Linked DNA regions of Arabidopsis thaliana. The protein of the gene in region 2 purifies or fractionates together with the protein of the main gene of each other region. This does not show direct contact. Each region holds a gene or a part of one and is shown on either strand. Other genes may lie near its edges.

The links. The genes of interacting proteins can lie anywhere in the genome.
Region 1: the proteins of CYCD7;1 (region 2) and AT5G40460 purify together in Arabidopsis thaliana (affinity purification with mass spectrometry, with the first as the bait; one large-scale study listed by BioGRID). This does not show direct contact.

The regions. Positions count from the first base shown.
Region 1 is NC_003076.8:16,199,791-16,204,225, reverse strand, and holds AT5G40460 (cyclin-dependent kinase inhibitor SMR3-like protein), read right to left. Parts: upstream 2,085-4,435; 5' UTR 1,762-2,084; coding exon 1,423-1,761; 3' UTR 868-1,422; downstream 1-867.
Region 2 is NC_003076.8:415,287-420,238, reverse strand, and holds CYCD7;1 (CYCLIN D7;1), read right to left. Parts: upstream 3,323-4,952; 5' UTR 3,153-3,322; coding exon 2,892-3,152; intron 2,640-2,891; coding exon 2,553-2,639; intron 2,460-2,552; coding exon 2,165-2,459; intron 2,069-2,164; coding exon 1,686-2,068; 3' UTR 1,573-1,685; downstream 1-1,572. Other genes in the region: NDP1 (Tetratricopeptide repeat (TPR)-like superfamily protein), read left to right, coding at 47-101, 184-228, 314-492; OHP (one helix protein), read right to left, coding at 606-674, 760-882, 955-1,095; UNE18 (Oxysterol-binding family protein), read right to left, coding at 4,223-4,460, 4,561-4,739, 4,819-4,952.

The DNA.
Region 1 (4,435 bases), about 16 Mb from region 2:
CTTTTAAAGTCTCCTAAAATGGAAGATTCGGCTATCATCAGTTGGGACACTAAAAGCTATTGTTTTGGAATTGCTAACTAGAACAAATTTACAGACTTGTGAAAGGTGAACCTAATCCTCAAACTTGGATTCTCATTTTGAATTGCTAGTACATTCGGCAGGCAATATAATTTTTTCCTGAAAAGAAATGTATTATAGTTCCTAAAGTCATGACAGTGAAATAAACTCGTTCACAAGAATGATCCAAACTCGTCAATCGTCATAGTCTCCTTCTATTCAAATATTTCTCTTGTATTTGGCATTTCAAAAAAAAGAGGAAAAAAACACGAGATTGGTCGTTGTCTCGTAAAGGAACCAAACAAGGCCTTAAGTCCCACATTGGATTCTCCCATCGCACCGCTATTCTCTGAACCCTATTTTGTCCTTTTCATGACTCAATCCACAAGAACACAACTGAGAATTAGTGACTTACTTGCATGCAACACATTTAATCTGCAAATAGTACTATTGGTGCGTAGCATGAGTAATTACTAATCATAATGTCTTATGAGTTTATTTAATTAATTTGTTACAATACAAAGTAGTGGTCAATGAATTAAAGATACTAATGACTTAGTGAGTGTGCAATTGTGCACGCAAAAAGCTCTTTAACCTGAAAAAAGAAAGTATCATATTTGTTGGGATGGCTTTAGAAGTAGAGGCCTCCTTAAAAAAAAGTCATGCATTGAAATTCTTCAGAATCCTTTTAAAGCATATAAAAAACATTACATGTGTGCATTATAAAATTGTTGATTTCTTCTCTTTCCAAATAGTATGATTTACCTCTTTTTATTTGAAATTAAAGATTTTTGTATTAGATCCCACCATATTATTTGTTAATAAAAACTATATTGGCCCACATCTAGAACATTAGATAAAGGAAACAATAATTATGCAAATACATAGTTTAAGTTATTAACCTATAAACGAGTTTTACCAACAACAAAAAAAAAACCTATAAACGTGTATAGTGGATTTGCCCAAAAAAAACGAGTATAGTGGAGAGTCAAAAGCTTGCCGTGTGGACTTGTCACAAATTATTGGTAATTTTATTATTATATTTAGGTAGTTGAGCTAACTGGTAAGATTTGCTCGCGTCACTTCTCCTTTAGTCTCCGTAGGCTTAATCCAAGGCTCTGAGTATAAAATTTTCTACATCAAATTAGTGTTTTTATAAAATCTGGACTGATTATTTGTTGATATATGTATAACCAAAATATTAATGAAACCAAATGTGATGAACAAGGCTAATTTGGAAGATACGCATTATCATAATTAGATTCATTATCATATATTTTTAACTCTAAGTCTAATAACCAAAGTTTTCATGGCCTGTAACTAATATATAACTAGAGAACTATATTAAAAAAAACTCAAATCTCACTAACGGCGACGTAGAAACACCGTCTCTAAATCAGAAGGAGGCGTAAAAAACTCTCTAACGACGTTACTCCGACATTTTAACGCCGGCCGTCGTTTTCTCGGTGCTGGTGGACATTCCAATAACTCCGGTATCTTCGTTTCCTTCGCTGTCGGTGTCGTCGAACACTCTTCCTCTTCGTTGTAGCAATCTTCTTCAACTTCGGTCACTATCTCCGGCGGCGCTCTGAGTTTCGTCTTGACTGGTTTCAACGAAGCCCGAATCGAAATTCCGGCGATAACCCATTTCTTCCCGTCGGATTCTAAACCTCCTTCGAATTGAGATTTCTTCGAAAAACCCATCTCTCTTTAACTAACTCAAAACCAAGATAAATGAAAAAACAGAGTAAACCCAAAAAGAAAACAGAGAGATAAAAACAGAGACTTGTTCCAATTAGAAGAAGAGGAATCGGAATAAAATGAAAGTGGGGAAAAAGATTAAAAATTTGTGGTTGGTCAAATTTTTTGGTCTGAAAGGAAGAATTTTTTTTGTTGTTGAGAAGAATGAGAAAAAACAAATGAGAGGAAATTGAGATAAAGAGAGGGTTTAAATAGTCAAAATAATATTCAGGAGAAAAAAGCTTTGCGAAGAAGATGAAGAAAAAAAGGGATAAAATTGGAAATTTAAAAAGAATAAAAATTTAGGTGCCCGAGAAATTTTACGGGCAGAGTCGCAACCACCGTCTTTTGTTTGGCGCCATAGTTTGAGAGTTTTGGTTCGCAACGGCTCTTTTTCCCGCCTTTATATCCTTTTAGTGATTCCCGATTTTGCCCCCAGTTTACTTTCCCGCGAGGTTTCTTTCTTTAGGTAAGAGAAGAACCGAAGAAGAGAACATCGGTTTGGTTTATTTACCCTCTTTGGTTCTAATCGGTTATCGTTAATTTACATTTTTTTATGGTTTTCTCTGGGTTTAGGTTCAAACTGAAATTAACTCGGTTTAACTTCAGTTCGTCAGTTTGTTGGTCATCAAAACGACGTCGGTTTTGACACACTGAATTTTCCCCATCACTTTAAATATTCATCTGCCTTCTCTCTAATTTTGGTTGATAAGATTATCAACAATCATGGAATCTGCCGAAAACAAAATCTAGTGTGAATCTTGTGGAAAATGAGTTTGGAATTTATATCACTCACGGCTTATTCATCAACATTATTAAACTATATGATATATACAATTCAATAAACAGCAACGTTAGAAAACATCAGTAGCATATCAAGCCATGTCAAAAACTAGCTAACCATGGAGGCAAACAACAATATATTATATATCTATAACTAATCGATCATTAATACAGTTTAAAGTTATGTTCGTAATTAAGGTGTGCCATCATCACGGATTCATGCATGCACTTATATATACATAGAAGCCATTATGTGTACAAATACAATGTCAATATCAAACAAACAATATATATGCAGCTAATTCTAGTCATTAGAAAGATAAGGATAAGAGAGATTGGCGGGTGATTATCAGCATGATGGATTGCTCTCCCTCTGGTTCTAGAGTCGAACATGAAGATTGGAACCCTAGAAATCTTAAATCCGATACGTGCGATATGAAGTATAAGTCAATGTTGCATTGTAGTTATTTTATGATACCAAGAAATTTGAAATTTTAGGTAAATTTTAGTTATTATTCCGGACCATGAGACGAAGAGATACAAATAGATAAAAGGTCCATCCCAATTTCTTTTAGACAAAAAAAAGATGATGTAATCAAATACATCTTTTAGTTAAGGTTTACATTTTACAATTTACAATTTTATAGTTAACTTTGATATATTATATTCTATATTTCTTTATGTAATAAAAGTAATCAATATTCAATTATTAGGCGATAGGATGAATGGACCTTTGAGAGACATGAATGGTGATAGAGACAAGTTGAGGAAGGTCGGGACTAGCTAGGGCTGACATTGTGTCACATAAGCATTAGATTTATTCGCATTCAAAACGTTATGAAAATTAATGTAAAATATGAAGAAGAACAATTTGAAATGTTTTTTAACTAAAATTTGAAATTGAAAGTAACGCATATTATATTGGACCTACAAAAGAGCCGACCCTTATCTATTTTAGTGTGAAAGAAATGCATGGGACCCTCTTAGTCAACCAGCCTTATAAGACCTCTTTGGCCAATTCTATTAGTTACTTATCGAAAGTGTTCAAATTGCCATCGAACCCGAATGTCCAGCAAGACCTTTGACATATCTTATACATAACTCGCCAATTCTCGATCATTTATCATGTAATCTTGTATCCAATTCGGTTGTTCTGATATATGAGGGTTTCTTTTAATACAAAAATGACTCTAACATGTGTTTAATTACGATGATTTGTAAGGTTTCGATTGTTTTTCGAATTAATTACGAATTTTGCTATTCTTCTTATGGCATTTATAGATTTTGCCATCTTTAAATAGTTTTTAAAATTTTATCATTTTTCAGGTATAAAAAAGTGATTTAACTTGTGTTTTACCCATTATGATAAAATTAGTCGGGTTTTTTTTTGGTTTAGTATTTGGTATAAAATACGTGTTTAAAAAAAAAATCGTAAATACGTATATCTTAAATGTTAAAAATGGCAAAATTGTAAAAGTTTAGTAAAATTATCATTTTTAGAAAAAAATCCAAAAAATGGCAAACTGGACAACAATCCCTTCTTCTTCATGTGAAAATTTTACACTTCACATCTTTATCTTGACTTGTGTATCTTACTCTCGACCAATTTTCGTTCCGTGATACATGAATGTTTAGAAAATATATCTATATAAATATTTAACATGTTTTATACTATTTCTTTATTTACATTGTATGAAAAATTATTTATCAATTAGTCATCTATAAATTACTATTCTCTCTGTTCCTTTTTATTTGATTTTCTAGGAAATAAATTTGTTTTAAGAAATTGATTTTTTAAGGTTTTTTATGCAACATTTATTTGTTATTTTTGATGAAGTGTTAACTTTAATAAAAA
Region 2 (4,952 bases):
AACATTGGAGTTTCGTCATCTTACCCCTGTTTCTTTTTCATCTCAGGGCCTCTACAGAAAAGCATTGGAGCTCATGAAAGCACCTCCACTGGATTCAAAAGGTACTTACAGACATCTATCTACTTTGCAGGTTATTGAGATAAACAACGATTGTCCTCAACAACTTCTTTCTGCATTCTTTAGGGATAATAAACATGGAAAATCAAGAAGTAATAGCTTTAGCAAGAGGTAAGCTTAAGCTCGTTTGCTTGCAAACAGAAACGATTGCCATGGTTAGCTTATAATAAGCGTATTCGATTTTTCGATTGTGCAGCCGGGTATGCGGAGTTACTACTGATTCAAGAGAACAGAAAAAGCGAAGGAGAGAAAATGAAATCATGGGCCGAATCAGCGTGGAGAAACAAACGCATTTCTCTATCAGAAGCATTGACTCTCTCAGAGCCGTTAGGTAAAGTAGCAATCATAGATGCTCGCACCACTCGTGTACTCTAAAAGAATCTCAAACTTTTACAACAAATGTCACGTTTTGATGTGTAATTAAACTTGAGAATTTTACATTTCATAAGAGATGTTTTTGTTGGAAAGAACACAAACAGTGATATACATTATAGAGGAAGATCGAGTCCTTTCCCAATCTCTACACCGATCAGTTCAAGTATTCCCTTGTTCAGAATCTGGAAAACGTATATTTCAGTTTGGTTTCGTTGTATGTTAGATTAAATCAATTCTTGCAAAAAGAAACCATCTAGTAACCCTCACCAGTTCGACGATGAAAGTACCGATGAGACCAATCATGCAAGCTCGTGAGTTCCATATCTCAGCTGTTTGTGTGAATCCCAGAAACGCAGGTTGAGATTTGGGTTGTGCTTTTGGCACTATCACCTGCGAAAAACACGATTTAACTACCATTGAAGATAGACATTTGAATATTTGAAAAAATGTTCCAAACGTTACCCCTTCAGGAAGTTTTGCGGCTCTGACAACGAAAGGTTGTTGCTTCCGATTGAAACAGAGGTTCTGTCTCCGACCATGGCAATGAGTCGACAAGGTCGACAGAGGATGAAAGAGAGATGAAGATAACGGCGACGAGCTCATTATTTTCCTTTGTAGAGTGAATTAACGAAAACTACTTGATATGAACAATCTTTATCTTCAGAAATCACTTCAGGATTTAGCTTGTGGCTACACTGCTCTCTTTCTCCGATCCATTCATATTTCGCCACGTGTTATATCCTGCAACACATTTTTCCTTTTTTTGCTAGAATTTTCTGACAGTAAAACAAAATCATGGCCTCACCAACAAAAAAAAAATTATGGGGTAATATTTAATGTAATTATAAACTCATTTATATTTTTTTGTCGTCAAAAATAAATTAAAAAATATATATATATATATATATGTATATATAATGAATGTATTCATGATTACATTAAATAATATTCCATGATTTTATTTAATTATTATAAAATGATATGTATATATTTATCAGATTACAATTAGAGTTTTTTTGTTGTTATAGATTTGATTGTTTTATCTGTAAAATAAAATATGAGTAGTTTTTTTTTAACTTTTATTAATCAATACATTATTCTGTAGTATATATTACAATTGAGTCAAGGTATGTGTAAAAACAATTAAAAAACAAACAAACATTTCTCTCTTTGTAGGCTTCTTTCATAAAATGCTAAATGTAATTTGACATTTCAATTGTCATTCTTTTTGCCGGACGAATGTTGTCTTGGTGGTTTCCTCTATCCCTCTTCTTCTTTTCGTATCGGAAAATCTGAAAGATTTTAGAGAGATCTTCAACGTTATAATCCCCATTCATATTCATCACATCGCCTCGCTGCAACAGACTCAGAATACTCCTCCCTTCACTGTATCTTCTTCTCGACGACTGATGATCAATGTCTCGATTTTTCATCCCATCAACACATTTCACGATTTTTTCCTTATGATTTTGTTCAAAGAGATTCATGATACTTTCTCGACACACCTTGTCTTCCATGAGAATCCATATAGCAGCAGTGGCCACAACGCTTGGTGGGTATTGAAGCATTTTTAAATCTGCATGCATCAAGAATAACATTCCATATCAGTTCCCGTTTCACGTCAATCTTACATTTATAACAAGAAACATTTTATATGTAGATCAAATTTTACCGCATATAACATCAAGCAGATGATTTGTAATTCGATTCATGATCATATGATCCCCAACCATACCGATCTTCGACACAAGGGTTTGCGAAAAAGTATAACTCGTAACCGCGTTCACACGCCATTCGAGAGCTTTCAAAATTATGAGTTCCATCTGAGCAACTGTATTAACGTGAAACATATGAGTTAAACCTTCCATTTCAAGTTCTTCGAGTAATGGAGTGGTAACTTCATTGAACTTTGATGCGATCGATAATGAAGTTACCGCAACTAGTTCCACCATCCAATTCGTCCATTCCTGCATTTATTTATAATGAACATGTCATTAATTCAACCGCAATTATAAAGTTTTTATCACATTAAGTAATTGTGTTTGCTTATGTATACTTACGTCACAGCAAGTCATGTAGACGAACCGATCAAAACAATTAGCGGCGGAAAATACCGTTTCATATGAAAGATTTAGCCGACTCCGAGTCTGAGAAAGTAAAACCAAAAATTAACTTTTGGTTTATAAAACAATATGATGTTAAAAAATAAAAATAATACATACCAAATATTTTTATAATATCGATAATTAATTTTGATGCAAAAAACTTTTTCGTAAACCCAAATTTTAAAGGCTATCTTGAAAGATTTTATAGGTTGTTATAAGTATCTACAAATTTTTGCGGTTTACTATCAAATATCACACATAGGACAAACAAAGAGATAATAATAATTAAGGTACCTGGATTAGCCATTGAAACGCATGGAACCTATAATCGGTTAACTTCTTTGAGACGAAAAACTCAACAAACTTGTCTCCATGATTGTTAAAACATAATTCTTTCTCTAAGTCCATAGCAATGGCTTCCTCCATCGTCGCTGCGTCTATCTCTGGATACATCTTCACGACGTCATTGTCGTGAGAACGGTGACGGAAGTTTGGTAAAGGCTCCGGGGTTAAAGGACTCGCGGGCCAAGATTCTTCGCAGAGTAGATTATCCATTTGGAAACTGAACCGGTTTGATTAAACCGGTAATAAGGTATTCTACTCCTCACTCTCGGAACAGTGTTATGAGATCAGAGAAAAAGTGACGTATATATATGCGAGCGAGCGAGAGAGAGAGAGTGGTGGAGAAGAAAATGGGAAGTTATGGAAGACAGTTAAAAGTTAAAAAAATACGTCGGTTCAATCAGAAGAAGATGCGTCGGTTTAGTATACCATATAAACTTTAGTTTAGACATATTTAACGAACTAATTCGAAAGAAACCCTAACATAATTAGATGTTTTCTTTACGATATATTTGTGTTCACTTAATGACTTTAAATAATACGATAAGAAAAATCATAGTTATGAGTGTGTGTGTGTATTCAATATTCATGATAAAGTGTTGAAAGAAAATATGGAAGCGAGGATTTAGTTGCGAAGGGATATAATAAGAAGACGTCGTCCCACATGAAACGCGGTAAATGCATTCTACCCAATCTTCATAGAAATTTCATGTTACAAAAAAACGTTTTAAAAAATAAATGTTGCAGTTGTTTTTAATTTTAACCAACCTCGTGAGTCCACGACCTTTTGCGTAATTACCTCATCCACCCATGACAGCCAATAAATTACTAACTTTTGTTTTTTTGGTTTATCTTCTGTTTTTGGCACCAACTTCCTATTTTTGTTACCAAACCAAGAGATTTTACTTTCGATGTTCTTGTGATTTCATTTTATCTTTACTTCTGCTCCATTCCGTTTATCTATTGACAGAAAGAAAAAGGAAAAAAAAAAACAAAGAAAAGAATCGCTTGCTCGTTTTTATTAGTTGCTTAAGCCCCAAGAAACTTCTCAGTTTCCTTCTACTATAGTTTCTCCTTTAACGACGTCACTTCAATTCATAAAATTGCTTTCAAGACAACTCAGAAAATCAGTAATCAGCTTTAAAGCCTTACAAAGAGAGTAGATTATCAAAATATAGACTCTTTCTTATGGAAAATTACAATGAAACTGGTGATTAATACCAAAAACAAATGAAAGATCTAAGAAAGTAACAACGCATTACACAACAAATGGCACCAAAGGATTAAGCAGAGAGATCTTGGAATTGCCAAGGGTTGAATTGGGTCAACTTCACATCGGTTGTATCCTCAGAGTTTTCAGCTGTGGCGCGGTGCACCGAGTACTTTCCATTGAATTGGTAAACTTCGAGATCACCCCATGGTGTAGGAGTGACTTCTTCTGTTTCATCAAACCATTTTGGAGCAAATTTTTGGCCTTTCTCTTCTCTGCTTTTCTTCTCAGCTCTTTGTCTATCCTCTAGGCTGCAAAACAAAAAAAAACCCGGCTTCTATTAGCCTTTGCATTACTTTGGGATTAGTAGTCTTAGGGAAGCTAACCAAAAGACTATGAGTAGTTAGTAACCTGCTCTTTTCGAATCCAGATTTGGACATATCACCCATCTCCAGCGCGTATCTATCAGGACGTAGACGTGAATCAGATGACAGTAGCTTTTTAGGGGCAGTGTCAAAACTATTGATCTTGTGAGCAAAATGTGTGTATTGGTATTTATCGTTCTTTGGAGCTTCAGCAACCTTCCACACCTGTGGAAGTAACATAATTAGAAAGGTGACTAGATATAGTATGCAGAGGGTTTGCTTAGAGGAGAGAAATTGATAAAACCTCCTTCAGTTCGGTGCCTGGAAGAGGTTCGCCTTCCGCATCACATGGCTGATAACTCAAGGACTCGTTCCATTTTCCGGTCATTAGCATCTTGGGCTCTTCAGCTGAATTATACACGTAACCGTCCACTTCAT